3 linked regions of the Caenorhabditis elegans genome follow. The protein of the gene in region 2 purifies or fractionates together with the protein of the main gene of each other region. This does not show direct contact. Each region holds a gene or a part of one and is shown on either strand. Other genes may lie near its edges.

What was found.
Region 1: the proteins of cey-1 (region 2) and spig-20 purify together in Caenorhabditis elegans (affinity purification with mass spectrometry, with the first as the bait; one large-scale study listed by BioGRID). This does not show direct contact.
Region 3: the proteins of cey-1 (region 2) and iff-2 purify together in Caenorhabditis elegans (affinity purification with mass spectrometry, with the first as the bait; one large-scale study listed by BioGRID). This does not show direct contact.

Annotation. Positions count from the first base shown.
Region 1 is NC_003284.9:6,083,374-6,087,867, reverse strand, and holds spig-20 (Neuropeptide-Like Protein), read right to left. Parts: upstream 1,745-4,494; 5' UTR 1,728-1,744; coding exon 1,617-1,727; intron 1,564-1,616; coding exon 1,369-1,563; 3' UTR 1,301-1,368; downstream 1-1,300. Other genes in the region: C45B2.2 (Neuropeptide-Like Protein), read right to left, coding at 2,767-2,955, 3,005-3,115.
Region 2 is NC_003280.10:11,039,403-11,045,009, forward strand, and holds the start of cey-1 (CSD domain-containing protein), read right to left. Parts: upstream 1,805-5,607; 5' UTR 1,726-1,804; coding exon 1,711-1,725; intron 1,345-1,710; coding exon 838-1,344; intron 726-837; coding exon 621-725; 3' UTR 1-620. Other genes in the region: col-83 (Nematode cuticle collagen N-terminal domain-containing protein), read right to left, coding at 4,733-5,125, 5,174-5,368, 5,415-5,607.
Region 3 is NC_003280.10:8,557,861-8,563,467, reverse strand, and holds iff-2 (Eukaryotic translation initiation factor 5A-2), read left to right. Parts: upstream 1-2,503; 5' UTR 2,504-2,512; coding exon 2,513-2,641; intron 2,642-2,695; exon of another isoform or gene 2,696-2,777; intron 2,778-3,227; coding exon 3,228-3,380; intron 3,381-3,456; coding exon 3,457-3,660; 3' UTR 3,661-3,887; downstream 3,888-5,607. Other genes in the region: F54C9.14 (PID domain-containing protein), read right to left, coding at 1-172, 630-872, 945-1,040. UniProt on the Caenorhabditis elegans protein: Translation factor that promotes translation elongation and termination, particularly upon ribosome stalling at specific amino acid sequence contexts.

The sequences.
Region 1 (4,494 bases), on a different chromosome or scaffold from region 2:
CCTTGTATTTGATAAGAAACGTTCTTCATCCAATAGGGAGAACAATGTAAGAAACCATGAAATCACCGAATAAGCGGAAGCTAAAAATGATGTCATTTCAAAAAGATGAGACTCAAATTGCTTCAAAGGTCAAACGATCATCGATACTTTATTTTGTAGAAAAAAATCACTGTAGTCTTCTACCGTGATTGACTATTTCAGTGACCTAGTCGTATTGTATGTAGTGTATTTGAGCAGAGCTATATTAGTGCACAGAAACATCCTTCACGTGCCAACTACCGTTCCACTCATCAACATTGTTGCCGATTTTGGAAATTTCTTTGTTAAATTTCAGTACCAACCAAAATTACAACAAGATTGCCCTTTTGTTCGAAATTGTCGATCACCTGTGGATAAAAGGATCGGGTGACTCCCCGAACTGTTGGTGCACCAAAAAAGGATTTGCATTACGTTTATTTTGCTCGAGTTACTGTTTAGTTTACTGATGCTCAGATCGCATTCGCTGCTGTCACTTCTGCTGGAATAGTCACAGAACATTTCAATGTCCTCCGATTTATATGATGTTTCTTTTCCTGTCATGTGTGCATTCATATTTGACACTGAACTGAACTGATCTCCTAAATTTCATCAGTAAAATTTTTTTGTTGTCAAGCTTTGAAACTTCGTGATTAGAGCTTATGAGACGGTAGTTTGAAAGTCAAACTAGTGTCATTTTCTCAAATTCAAAGTTTCGATTTCTGAACAGCACAAGATGCACTTTTCCTGCTCCAAAACTTTTGAAGTATTACCAGGCCGCTTCAAATTCGTTGAAGTAATTTGTTTTGGCTTCCATTTTAAACATTCCGTCGAGATCATGGAGAAACAATCTCCAAAAGCATGGCTTTCAATAAAAAATGCAAAAAAAATCAAGGATAGTGGCACTTTTGTGAAGCTTCCAAAAACATACAAGTTAAGTTTTTAGCTCAGTTCTGCAAAAATGAAGAACCATCCAATCAAAAATGCCAATTTTTGCTTTAGAGTACACAGAATCGGAGTCCAGTCAGCATTGAAATGTCTTCATTTACACCGTCAGGCTTCAAGTCTGTTCAACATCTAGGAAGTTTCCATATTTTTGAGAGAGTTCCATTTCTCGAAATTTACCGCAAATATTCATGATGTGCTCTTGTGGATCTAATAACAAAACTGATTTCCAGAATTTGACAAAAGTGACAAACTTTTTCTGTCATGATTATTTTTTCAGACCTTGTGAACTTGTGAAAACATGTATTGAAAAATTGAAAATTTCGATGTTTCTGGTAAAAATGCAATGTGACATTTATTGAAGGAAAAACAAACTAGTCAAATTATAAAAGAAATACTTTTTAACAATTACTTTCCTCCTGGGAATCCGTATCGTCCGTACCCTGCAGATGGTTGCTGGAATCGGTTTGATCTGTAGTCATTTTGTCCCCAACGAGTTTGTTTCTTCCAGTCATCGTACAAATCGTTGAGATTACGCTCGTAGTTTCCACGACGTCCATAATCAGAACGAACCTCGTGTCGGTTATAATCCCACACACCTTGCTGAAAATAATTTTGCTTTTAGAGATTTTTCAACAAAAATAAGTATGACAAACCTTTTCAAGGAATCTCTCATAAGAACTTGGCCATCCATAACGGTTTCCAGGTCCGGCAGTGACAGTTGCTAAAAGCATGGCAAACGCCAGGAAAACGGCAGTAAAGTTCATCTTGACTGATGATGTCCTGACCATTGATTCCTTCACTATTTATACTCCTTTTAAAGCTACGCCTCTTAAATTTAATGTCTAATTTTCACATTGTGTTTTTGAACTATCGGCCGCTTCGTTCATCTATTTTTTTCATCGAATTCTCGGTTACCCGGGAAACACAATCTCGATTGTAACAGTTTTCTGACAAATCAGAACGCCACCAAACAAAGATTGCGTTTCGGGAAGTGAACTGATAGCGAATAGATCAGGTTCAAATGAACAATTTAGTAATACTATTTCAAAATCCAAAATTTATATTTGTGATTGAATAATTTGTGCTCACCAACTAGATGATTTTTTGGAAGATTTTTTAAAAACGTTTTTGTGGTTGTATTTTGTGCCACTGCAAACGGTGATAAACTATAATATTCTATTATATTAACTACTTCATAATATTATTCCAAGGCAAAGGAAGTATGTTCCTCATTATTAAATTAAGAATAAAGTTCAACAATCAAACTCAGATAATAGCTGAACGTGAGAAAATTGTGTAGAAGCCTGGAAATAATTGTTTCAGGTTTTGATTATTGTCGCTTTGAATAGAAGTACTCGAAAAATGAAAACATGGTCTTTTTCGAAAATCGCCTCCCCAGAACGATCTCTCATAAGATTGTTTTCGGCAAGTTTTAGTAAAATCTGAGGTGAACAATTGAAGATAAATCGTGGCCGAGTTCTGGTTTTTTTAGGCCACGTAGTAAAAACCCTCTGTGAACCTTCTATCTTTTTGATAACATCTGTATTGATATATCTCGCATGAAAACAAAAGTTTTTTATCTGATCTTTACTTCAGTGAAAGACTGCTGTGAATTTACTCATTGTTTGAAACGTTAAGTTTTGTTAATAAGTCCATTTTTGAAATTCAAAAACATTTTGCAATCCTTATAAATGTTCACTTTGCAGTTACCATAATTACAAAAAATTACGAATTTTATTTGAGATTTTGTAAAACTAAGACAAAAACGATAGAATTATTAACAAAAAACGCCAAAATTTGTGTTTATCCCTTGAATCCGTAACGGCTATTTCCTCCAGTTGGTTGTTGGAATCTGTTGGATCTGTATCCCTTTCCTCCCCATTGGGTTTGTCTCTTCCAGTCGTCGAAAAGATCACGGAGGTCACGCTCGTAGTTCTTGCGTCCTCTGTAATCAGCACGGGCTTCGTGTCTGTTGAAGTCCCAAACTCCTTGCTGTAAATTACTTATTTAAAACTTTATTTTAAAACAATAATTTACTCACTCTCTCAAGGAATCTCTCGTAAGAGCTTGGCCATCCGTAACGGTTTCCTGGTCCAGCAGCGACGGTTGCCAAAAGCATGGCGAAAGCCAAAATAATTGCCAAAGAGTTCATTGTAGTCGAATGATGAATTTCTTGCCAAATTTTCTTTATTTATACTGTTTTTCTCAGGTACGCCTCTATATGTGCGGTCCAGTTTATACGTTGAATCACTGACCTCTGTTGTCTCCTACGTTGCATTTCGTCAATCTCTTTATCATCATTGCATCGGTTGCTAGATGTGGTGTTACGTTTTTACAAAGTATCACGATTGTGAGGTGTCAGGCTGATTAGATGAATTAAAACGGAAATAACATCATTTGAAATACAATATTTCAGATAGTTCAGGTTCAGAACCATTACGTTTTCTGTGAATCATCTGAGGTTCAGATGACTAAACAGTTAAATTTGTAGACTACGTGGCTGCTGAGTTGTTGCTCTTAAAGCACGGTATTGATGAATCCACCAATGAATATTTAATTTCAACGCAGTGATTTAGTTTCCTACTACATTTCAGTATTAATCAGTGAAAGTAATTTAATGAAAAAACTGAAAAACATTGCTGAAAATAATGATGAAAACTCTAAAGGTTTCATGGGAAATCTGAGAAATCTTAAAAAGTTCGTTTTCGTTATTTCCCATGTATATTTTTTCCCACAATTGACCCCGAAACTATTTTACGGTTTAAAAGGATCACTTTACCATTAACATACTCTTTCCCGTGATTATCAAGTTAAGCCCTAACATTTATTTTCGACAGTTTATTTACATATTGAATTTGAGTTTATTTAACTAAAAGAAGAGAAATAAACAAGTAAAACGAGACGAACCCTGAGAGAGTTCAACTCGAGTAAAAGTTTAAAAAAAAATGAAGTAAAAAAATAGTTTATTAATTATTTGGTATTTTAATTCAACTTGATAAATTAAAATTTTGCATTTTCATTTAATTAAACGTTGCCTATCACCTGTGGGTTCATTGTCTTGTTCAGAGCCATATAACTGGAAATGCAAAGCAATCTTCAACAAAATTTCAAGAAGTACAAGCAAATTGTTTAATGAAAAACGCAAAGACCGGTCGGGCCTATTTTCTAATATTCTATATAGGTTTCTTTGCATAGTTATTTATTTATTGTTCAAGCCCACAGGTAGATAGTTGAAATTAAAATTTAATACCACGGTGATTGAAATACAAGATAAAATATGTAGTCGCTTTTCAATATATTTTTATGCATTAAGGATAAAAATTATTATCTTATCTCAATTGCATCATCAAACAAAAGTATAACTCTTGATTATCAATCTTTGAAAAGCTCATTGCCGAAATTTTCAATTTTAGTCAGCTAGGAAATGAGTTTTATTTTTTATTTTTCGTGTTTAAACTTTTCAGATCTAACATGTGCTTTTACAAATAGGTGTTTAAATCGAAACTTTTTATTACTAGACAAAAATAAAAA
Region 2 (5,607 bases):
AGTCAATTCAAAATGCAGAGCAAGAGCAATAATAGAAATCGTTTTTGGAAAATAAATTTAATGTATGTATATCAACTATTTCAAGATGAAGGGCGAAGAGGTACTTGAACATTAAAGATTCTCTCAAAAAAGGGGGAAAGGGTACAGATATATTATGCTTTCTCGTTTTTCTGTTAGCAATATACTCTCAGAAAGACAGAGCAACACAAAAAAACAAGATGGGAAGTCATCAGTTGGTCTGGTGTGTGTGTGTGGGTGCTTGCTTGTTGAATTACAGAGATTTTCGGTGTTGATGGTGTTACAAGAAAAGTTTTGGAAATCCGAAAGCGAAACAGGTAGAATTATATATTTTTTTGTTGGGAGGAGAATGGTTTAATTACGAGAATGATTCAGGTTGTGACGTGTTTTAGAGGGGGAGCTTAAAGTAACTGTACTGCAATAATAATTCACGAGTTAGGAAAACAAAAGAAAGAAGAAAGAATAAGGGAAAATGTAATATAGCGAAAGTTCAAAGTTGTGGGTGTGTGTGTGGCGAGATGAATTGGGGGAGTTGGGGGTTGAAATAAAAACCTAGTTGCTCTCTTAATTACTACGAGTGTTACTGGTTACTGGAAAATTACTTAGGCCTCGCTCTGTCCGCCTTGTCCTCCACGGCCTCCGCGACCGCGTCCACCGCGTCCACGGCCTCCACGACGGCCACCACCACGTCCTCCGCGTTCACCGCCCTAAAATATGGATGTTAAATTTCGATCAATTTAGAGTTTTGAGAATTTTAGAATGAAAAAAAATTGGATCTAAAAATACTAGTTTTAAAACCCACAAAACAAAAAAACCTACATCTGTGTCACGAGCAGTCTCCTCTCCACCACTGTTGGTACGGCCACCACCACGTCCACCGCCACCACGACGGCTTCCACCACGACCACCTCCACGTGGAGCACCACCTTCCTCGGCGTCTCTTGATCCAGAGTCGTGTCGGATTCCACCACGTCCTCCACGTCGTCCACGTCCGCGTCCACCACGTCCACGTGCTGCATTTTCAGCATCACGATCGGCAGCATACTTGGATCCTTGAACTGGTCCTCCATCTGGTCCTGTTACGCTGGCCGCTTCGAGACCCTTGGATCCTTCGACAATGTCGAACATGACCTCTTCATTGTCTCCAAGACTTCTCAAGTACTTGTTCGGGTTGTTGTTGATGATGGCGGTCTGATGGACGAAGATGTCTTCGTTGGTGTCAGTGCGGTTGATGAATCCGTATCCGTTCTTAACGTTGAACCATTTCACTGTTCCCTTCACTTTTGTAGCCTTCACTGGCTTGTCAGCTGGTTGCTCTGCCACGTCCTGAAATAAAACGATAATTAAGAAATTAATTAAAATTGCAAGATTTGCTTTAAATTTAGAAATTTTCAAATTTCATATTTAGAGCTCAATTGCTCTGGATTTATTAGGATCTCGGAAAGAAACGAATTTTAGAGCTCATTTTTCTTGTCTCGTTATTTTCAAATCTCAAGGAACATTGCCACTTCAAAAAACGTCAGCTGACCGCAATAATGAAAGTGTTGTTTTCCGAAAATTGTCTCAAATATTTTATTTGTATTTTGGGTGGTGGTGGTGGTCGCGTTGACCGATGACCCTCCATTCCGCGTGCTCTCCTTTCGCAGGAAAAGTAGCCTCGTCGGATCAAAGATCATAGAGACACACACTTACGTTTTTCTCGGCCATTGTTCCGCGCGCTTCTGTTCTTCCTCTGGTCTTACCGGCTGTTACTTCGTGTGGCGCGACACAACGATTGAAACCCTCGCTGAAAAAATATGAAAATTATGAAGAGTTGAAATTTGTGTGGGGTCAAGAAGCTCAAATTGGAAGAAAAAAGAAAAGAAATTGATAATCATAGGGAATAGCGGAAAAAAAAACAAAAATTATACGTTTTATCCGGTGTAGCACAGGGACATTTTTGGTCGAGAAATCATAAAACGGGGGTGGAAAGTTTTAAATAATTATTTAATTTTTCGTTTTCATACTTTCTATCAAAATTATACCTTCAAAAATTATTAAGAGCTTCGTCAGTCTTTCTTGTTTCAATATTTTCACAAAAATGTTATTTTTAATGTGATAATTTAATTTTTAAATCAGGAATTAGTTTAGAAATGTAGGAAAACGTTTGTTCAACCTGAAAAATTTGCCATTAGAAGTGACTTTCATATATTACTTGTAGTTTTTTCTCGAAATTTTCAAGTAATAAATATTATTTTCAGATCGAAAAAGCATTTTTCTGCATATTTAATGCAAATTTTTCATTTTAAAACTTAACACTGAAATTGACAGTTTTTACGTATGCGGTAGCTTTTGCCTTCAACATCAAATTATTCTCCTCATTCTCATCCTAATAACAAGAGTAATAAGAGAAAAAGTAGTGGGGGCGAATGAGTGCGAGTGTGTAAGCTGACCTTTCGATGCGGACACCAACATTAAACGATTGTTAGATACGAGAGAGATGTTGAGAGGTGCGGGAGACGGATGAGCAGCGGTCAGTGTAACAGAAAAGTTATTGGTTGATGAAGAAGTACACGCCGGAGCAGCTCTCTTCACTGAGCCCCGAGCCTCGCAGCTGACAAAATAGAGAACAAAAACAGAATAATCGATAAATGAAAGAGGTGTGCGCGGTTAGAAGAGAGAAAGAGGAGGAAGAAGAAAAAGAACATGAGGTTTCAATCCTTTTTTGGTTCGAAGAACTTCGCGTGACTTTAGAGAACTCTAGAGGCAGAGACACATGATTTTCGAACTATTAAGACTCAAAATAGGGGATTTAATCAAATTACTATTTAAGATAAAAATTTCTGACTTGCGAGGGTATCTTTTGAAAAATTAAATATTTTTCTCTAATAAAAAAGAGCAATCCTGAATATTTGACTCAGTTTGTCGTGGAAACCCGTTTTCATAGATATGCGAATTTTAATGAAGGTATATGTAAATCTACATCCATATTCTAATTTCTGAAAGACCAGAAAAGCAAATTTTTGGGAGAATCTAAACCTAGAAACTTCTTCTCCGAAACACTCCCCAATAAACAACGATTGTTTTCTCGAAGACCGAAAATTGCGAATTTAGGAATGTTCAGGTGGTTGTTGGGAGGAGGAGAAGGCGGCGAAACGAAACAAGAAAATTTTTGACCCGATTCCGTGCTACAATGCCTTTTGACCTTGCAACATTCTGCAGCAGCATACCAACAACGCCGTTGTTTGCCCTGTGTTAGCTTGAATGTTTTTGGGTGGGGGGTTTGCGTATTTTTCGAGCAAAGTGAGATGGTAAAATACTAGTAGTTGGTGAAACGAATAGCACTGTAATATTGAACAAAACTGGAGGAAGGTAGGCAACGCAGAATAATAATGAGATGGTCGAGAGAGAAAGAGATGAAGAAACAAAGAGATAGTGAACGAGCAAACAATAAACATTTGATAAGCGAATTGATGATGAGCCGGAGCACTGTCACAACACGGCCGATTCGAATGGTTCAAATACAATCGAAAGCGAAGAGAGAGAGAGAGTAAATGAACACCGAGGGGTACGTGTTGTATGCGTAGTTTCGACTGGGAGGCCACCACTGCTCGACCCGTCCGCCCTTCCCCTGCTGGTGCTATTTCGCCGTTCCTTGCACATTCTCGGTCTCCGATCTCTCTAGTTTCGGTCGGCCCGGGGCTTGTGTTGTTGGCCTCATACACACGAAGAGAAGAAGAAGAAGAAGAAGAGCGCAAAGGGTTCTCTCGCACACTCACATACCCCCACACACACACACGCACACGCACTCACGCACTGCTGCTGGCGGATCGATAGAGTGCTTGCTCTTTTTCTCTCTCGGCTTAAATGTGCTGCACAAAACTAAATAATGCATAATTTATCTGAAGAATCTCTGAAAACGTTGAAATAAAGAGCTAGAATGCGGAAACAAATTAGAAACTATACGCAGAAGGGGATTAAGAAATGCGAGCGAAGAAAACATTTTTTCTTCGCTTTTTTGTTTGGAGGACGACAATTAGATCGGCGGGAGACAAAATAGGTGAATTCCCGTGGATTTATTGATGGGAAACAAACAAAAGTAGACCACCCAGTCGGAAACCTTGTTCGAAATGGTTTTTGAGCGGGAAGACACCGCGGAAGAGGAGAAAATTGATGAAAATACACTAAAAAATTATTTAATTTTATAATTTTGCAGAAAAAAACTCGAAAAACGTTTTAAAAAAAGGCGAAAATGAAGAAAAAGAAGTTTGAGTTCGAAAAAAAAATATTAGAAAAATCAAATTTTGCTAATCGTTTCGATACCCATCGCTTGATAGGTATGCGCCTTTAAGATGATTACGGTAGGCATCAAATTTTCAGGCACAGAAAAAGTGGGCGTTTGCCGGGAACTGAACGGAATTTAAATGTTTAAATCAAAATTGATATCTAAAAAAAATTTCATTTTGAAATTTTGCGCAATCAAGTTGGCAATTTCATCAAAGGAACCCTAGGAGCAGGGATAAAATATTTTTAAAAACAAAAATTATGCTAGTGTCAAAATTGCATCATTGGTTATACTGGGTGATTCAATGCAGTTTCAGATAAAATCTAATCTTCGACAATCTCGGCCTTGCCTTTTTGATTACGTCATTGTGCGTTTTTTGTTGATAACCATTTATCCCAACCATTTATTTAGTTAATTACATGGGAAATATCAAAGATTGAGGCCAATTGATCAGTAACCAGGGCTGACACGTGGAATGGGACAAGCCGAACATCCTCCAGCAGACCCAGGAGGCCCAATATCTCCTGGTGGGCCTCTCGGGCCATTCAAGCCAACACGACCAGGAGCTCCTCGATTTCCAGGTGGACCCATTGAGCCCACTTGTGAAAATCCATCGATTCCTTTCGGTCCAGGAAACCCCATTGGTCCAGGTGGTCCAGATGGTCCACTTGGTCCTTCGACACCTCTTGAGTCTTGAGTCATTATGCCTGGATCACCTGGTGGGCCGCGAGGACCAATGCCTCCCGGATTACCGGGTGGGCCTGGAGGACCTGGGGGGCCTGGTGGGCCTGATGTAATATAGAAGTTTTTTGGGCCAGTTGGACCTGGAGTACCGCGGGGGCCCTGTAAGTAAAGACTGACTGATTGAAAAGTTTTAACAAATAGGCCTACTTTTGGTCCTGGAGGCCCTGGCGGCCCACTTCTCGCTGGTGGGCAATCAAAGCAGAAATCATCAATTTCTGGAAGTACGGTATCTGGAACATTAGCTCCAGGAACACCAGGATAACCTTCGGATCCATCGTCCCCGTCATTTCCATCAAGGCCCGGAATTCCAGGAGGCCCAGGTGGACCGAAAATACAGAATTGCTGAAACTAAATATGAAAAAACTCAGGTCAGGCAGGAACTACCCACCTGCTGTGGGCTGTGAACAATGGGTTGTTGAATCACTGGCTGCTGAACTACAACTGGCTGGGAGCATCCTCCACCTCCACCACATGAATGCACTGGATGTATAGCACACCCAGTCTCCTGACCACAATCCGATGGTCCACCACAATTTGTCACATCGTTACAGTAATTCATGAAGAATTGGCGTTTTCGACGT
Region 3 (5,607 bases), 2.5 Mb from region 2:
AAGTCAAAGACATTGTACCTTCCAATACTGATATACTTGATGTAGTTCTTCTGGTTCTGACCAAGAATTCATCAGATCTTTTATTTGATACCTCTTTCTTTGTCTTCTTTGATTTTTCAATAACACACGAGAAACGTTGTTTCGGGGGAAATGGATTGTGGTAGAGAATGTGCTGGAAATTAGAATTTAGAGATACGTGCATGAATTGGAAGCTAATCTGTAGACTATTATTCATTCTCAATATTATTTTTTACAAAAGATATTCACATCAAAGTAGCACGTTGCTTAAGTATTCAGAAGAATTGACTTCCAGGAGGCACGGGTATTTTATTTTAGAAAGGAGCGACTTTATTATGAGCCACCAATAGAAAAGCATGGCACATCTTTAAGATATAAAGTTCTCGCAATTTCTGGTCTATCAGCTGGGGAACTATATGAGTATGTACACATGTAAGATATCTCGCACCGAACCTATTTACTGTACTCACATAAAATTCCAAACTGACTACACCGTGCAGGTATAATCTAGATGACCTTTTTTGCCAATTTTAATTATTAGACATACGATAATTATTACAAAATTGTTTTCTTTGATCTTTGTTCTTTGAATCTTGAAAAGATCGAAGTACCTCCATATAAAATCGTTTTGCTTTTTCACAAGCATTACGAAGCGATTTCCGATTATCAGCCGAATTGAACGCAGCTTCAAAATATTTTGAATCGACTAATTCTGTAGCAGTTCGACGAGAAACTTCACTGATTGCAAATGAAACAAAATTCCTTCCATTTTCCGATTGGCAACATGTTACAGTCATTCTTTGAGGATCACAAGATGCATCAGCAAGATAATTGTTCACACAATTATACGACATCTGAACAAGAATCCATTTGATTTTTGAATTTTCAGTTTGCAAAATAAACGTTTCAAAATCCGTCTAACTCACAGTGAAAGAAGTAGGATCTTCAATTTTTCGAGTTGCCACAGCTCCATTTTTTGTAAAAATCACTTTTTGTGAATTAGTCTTCATACAAGTTGGCATTTTTAGAAATCGTAAGTACAGAAATAAATTTTTAAAAAACGAACCAGAAGCGGTTGAGCAAAACGTGAAAATTTAAATAGGATAATTTAATATTTTTCAAATTTTTGGTAAATTGCCAAATTTTCCAAAAAAAAAAACGCAATTGAAGTATAAAGCTCGTAGAAAATATGTTTTTGTCAATTTCCTAAAATATGTCCTAAAATATCCTAAAACTAAATAAATCTAAATTTTTCAGCAGCTTCAGTAGAGACTGCAACATCTAATGAGATCTTCGTTGGTGACTACAATGCTCATAATCAGTTCAATCCAAGTTTTTTTAAAACTTAAGCAGGAGCTGAGGCAACAAAAACAGTTGTGTAAAAGTCATGAATATTTAGGTTGTCGGGGGGTTCAATCCATAACTAACTTACCATGTTTTGATATACTTCCTTTCCCCTCAAACTACACGAATGTATTTTATGATAGTTTTTGTAGTGTAATAACTTCTAATAACTTGTCTAATAACTTGTATCTTACTTGTTTCTGCTTTTATTATTAATACATTATAATAAATTCAAAAACAAATTTGTTCAACTTTTAAGTAGGGAAAAATTGAATAATTACCAAATTGAATAGACACACTAGTTGTCAATAGATTAGTAGGTCTGGAACAAATTGGTAAACTGTACATATAGTAAACCATATATAATAAATATATTTACTAACCAGCTCATGAATGTAATTTTAATTCAATGTTTAAAATTAATAAAACTTATCTAAATTGTTTTCATGCCCGTTTTTTAGTATACTCACTTACTACAACTCTTATCTTATCTACTACAATAACCTACAACTTAACTCTTATTTGTCTCCATTTTCCCGCTCCTCTGTCTCGATATGTTCCGTTTTCTCCAAAACTGCAAAATTGTATGTTTGTCAGTGTCTCCACCATTACACCACCGTCTCAACCCTGCAAGACCGGTGCATACACGCTCCGTCGACGGCCACGCGGTTGGTTATTGCCTGCGTAGCGACCCACACACAGTGATGGGATACCGAGTTCAACCGTATTTACGTAAGACCTTCGCAACTGTTTAGGCAACTTTTGAAAGTCTTTTTTTGAAAAGTTTCAGACTGTTTTCTTGTGATTTTCAAGACAAAACTGTGTAAGTATTAGGGAATGCTTGGTTTTTGTCTTAGATATAGTATCTACCTACAATATGCTAAGTTGATATGATAAATTATTGATTGATGATGTTTTTTCTATTTGTCATCATTTTTAGGTTATTATGGTTTAAATCAATTTAGATACATTCAATTTGCTGACTTTTTTGAAATGGCTGTAAAAACTAGTAGATTTATCAAATTGGATCTAGGTCCCCATTTCTTAAGGACTATGTATTTGACGCTTTACTATATTTTTTCTGGTTTTTATTTATTCTTAAATATTGTTATCATTTAAAAAATTAACTTGTGCGTTGTAGGGTACCAATATGTCTGACGATCATCACGACGACGAGCACTTCCACACCGGAGACTCTGGAGCTGCTGCCACATTCCCAAAGCAGTGCTCTGCTCTCCGTAAGAACGAGCATGTCATGATCAAGGGACGCCCATGCAAGGTTCGCTTTGTTTTAAAATGTTGAAAAATTAAATAAACTTAGAAGATGTTTTGTGAAAAAGTGCGATGAATGACTTGGATAAGTTTCGGCTGAAACTTGGTGATGCCAACTTTTTAAAACTGCTGAGCACTTTTTCTCAAACAAAAACCCAATAAATATGAAAGAACTATATATATAGTTATATAAACTATTCACTCATAGTTTTTTACAAAAACTGAAAGCTTACCAAATTGATAATTAATTCCAAAACAAAAAACTCCTGAAATTATTTAGCTCACAAAATACCCAGATAAGATGATATGATTTAATCCTAAAAACTGTTAGTCTAAACATTAGATAGGCCAGATATTTATATTCTCAGAGGCGAGTGAAGAGGCGGATCAGAGACACCCCGCCATGCTTTTACCGGAAGGAAATTCTAAGACAGTTAATTTGAATTTTAGTTCTAATTTAAATATTAACATTTTAAAATTGCAAAAAATATTTGAGGAATAAAAAAAAAGTATACATACAATCGTAGCACCATGCTTCTAGAATGTGGACAAATCAACTTTGCGTAACCATAAAAGTTATCTGAAAGTTGTAGATCGTCGAAATGTCGACCTCCAAGACCGGAAAGCACGGTCACGCTAAGGTCCACATGGTCGCCATCGACATCTTCACCAGCAAGAAGCTTGAAGATATCTGTCCATCCACCCACAACATGGATGTTCCAGTCGTCAAGCGTCGTGAGTACTTGGTAGGTTTTCCAAAATTTCATATTGCTAAACTATCACTAAATTTTTATTCAATTTTCAATATGCTTGTTCTTTCAGTTGATGGCCATCGATGACGGATATTGCTCCCTCATGGACCCAGAGTCCTGCGAGCAAAAGGATGACCTCAAGCTTCCCGATACTGAGCTCGGACAACAGATCCGTGATGCTTATGAGAAGGACGAGGGATCCGTTTTGGTCCAAGTTGTCTCTGCTATCGGAGAAGAGGCTATCCTCGGATGGAAGGTCAGCACCAAGGAATAAATCGTCAAAGGAACCCCCTGCCAACTGCTCATGAATCCTGATTCCCCCGTTCCACCCCGCAAAACTTTCACTGTATGAATGGTGCTGCTTGACATTCCATTCCAGAATTCAAGTATAACCCATCATCAAGTGCTCGTGTTATTTTTCTTGTTTTCATTAACTTTTTTTTTTGCTTTTTTTCAAAACATAACTGAGAATTTAATTTCAAATAAATTATCAGAAAATTTTGGTTTCCATTTTATTTAAAAACTATCAATCCACCTCCATGAATTCACTCGTTTTTTCTTTTGCCTTCTTGTTCCATCATCATCCGTAGGTAATTTGTTTCTGTTCCATCATCTCACACACTCTCTCTTATACACGCACAACAATTGACTAAATTTGATTTATAAATGAAGTTGCACGGAGAGTTGCTTTTCGATTCACTTTCATTTGATTCTGAATCTAGGAATAGTTGAAGAGAAAAGAAGCGATTTCATTTCCGGTACTGGGAGATATCTGACCAGAATCTTAGTCAGATGCTTCTTTTGTTTTTCGATTGACTAGGAAATATGTTACTAAAGAATAATTCCTAGAGTTTTTAAGTTTTTCAGTTCTAAACGCTTTCCTATAAACGCAATCCTGGAAATGTTTAATGACTCGTAAAGCAACCGTTTTTGACAAGAGACACCTGTGATTTATACGTTTTTCAAGCTTCATCAAAATAGTGCCTAGAATTTCCATTCGTTCTTTCAACTTTCAGTCTGAAAAGAAACATATCGATGTATCTTGTTAGGTTATTTTGGCTCACTTTTATAAAAATATCTTCACTTACTGGAACGGTCATATTGTTTTTTTGCGTACTTATACCTTTCTCTGCTTGACTTCAAAACTTAATTTTAACAAAAACAAGAGGCGTGGAAAACTTTAAAAGCTTCTTGGTAACAACTCGACCTTTCTAATGGGATTTTAAAGTCTAGACACGTGTTTACCAATTATCAGCATACTTGTTGTATTGTCTATTTTAGTTTATAAATTAGTTCAAGAATAAGGTTCAATGTTTTTGAAATTGACGCTGTTTTCATTTTTGATTTGACAGCTTTCAAGGGCACGTTACCAGCTTTTCCAAACCGAGCTGTAGAAATCTGCCAATGGTGCACTAAAAAACTTTCTACAAGTATCGTGCTGAATTTCTTAACTTCTGTAACTGAAACCTCGTTTGTATGAACAAAAACTTAGTTAAGACCGTGTAATAGTTCAAATTGAGTTTGCATTGTTGATTCGCATCAGAAATTTAAAACAAGCATATCAGGCATTGAATATAATTTGCAAATTTCAGAATCGCCGCTCAAAATATCTGAAAAAAGAATATGACGGATCAAAGAATAAATAAAGAGAAAATGGGCGTGGCTGAGCCGTCTCATATTCACTCATTTCCCGACGGACCGCCCGTTCCTTTTTCTCTTCAACAAAATTGTCCTCGTTCGTTTCGTCTTCCACCCGTCAAAAATAGAATAACAACCACTATCGCCGTGTCGTCACTTTTCAATTTTTTAGTCGTTAGTAGTTTTAAAAAATGACATGTAAAAGCTTTCTTTGACATGGTTTTAGATATATGTTTCTCTTTTTATGTTTTCAATTTTGAATTTTCGCTTGAATGATTTTCTTCTTTTTGTTTCAAATTGAACACGAATCTGCTTTTTTTGAGGTGGACACCAGACGCGAGAAATCGAATACTACTTGAAAAAATATAAATTTCTTTTGGTTTCTTATTCATCACCTAGTTTTTAAATGAGTTGTTTTTTTGTATTTGAAAACAATAACACATAAATTATTAGCTTTGTTAAAGAAACGTTCAATCCGGTTAATTTTCCCGTGTTTTCTAGAGATTTAGATTTTTGCATACATATGATAAATTCACAATATTTGTTCAATCGAAAATGTCTTAAACCAAATATTGTTTAAAAA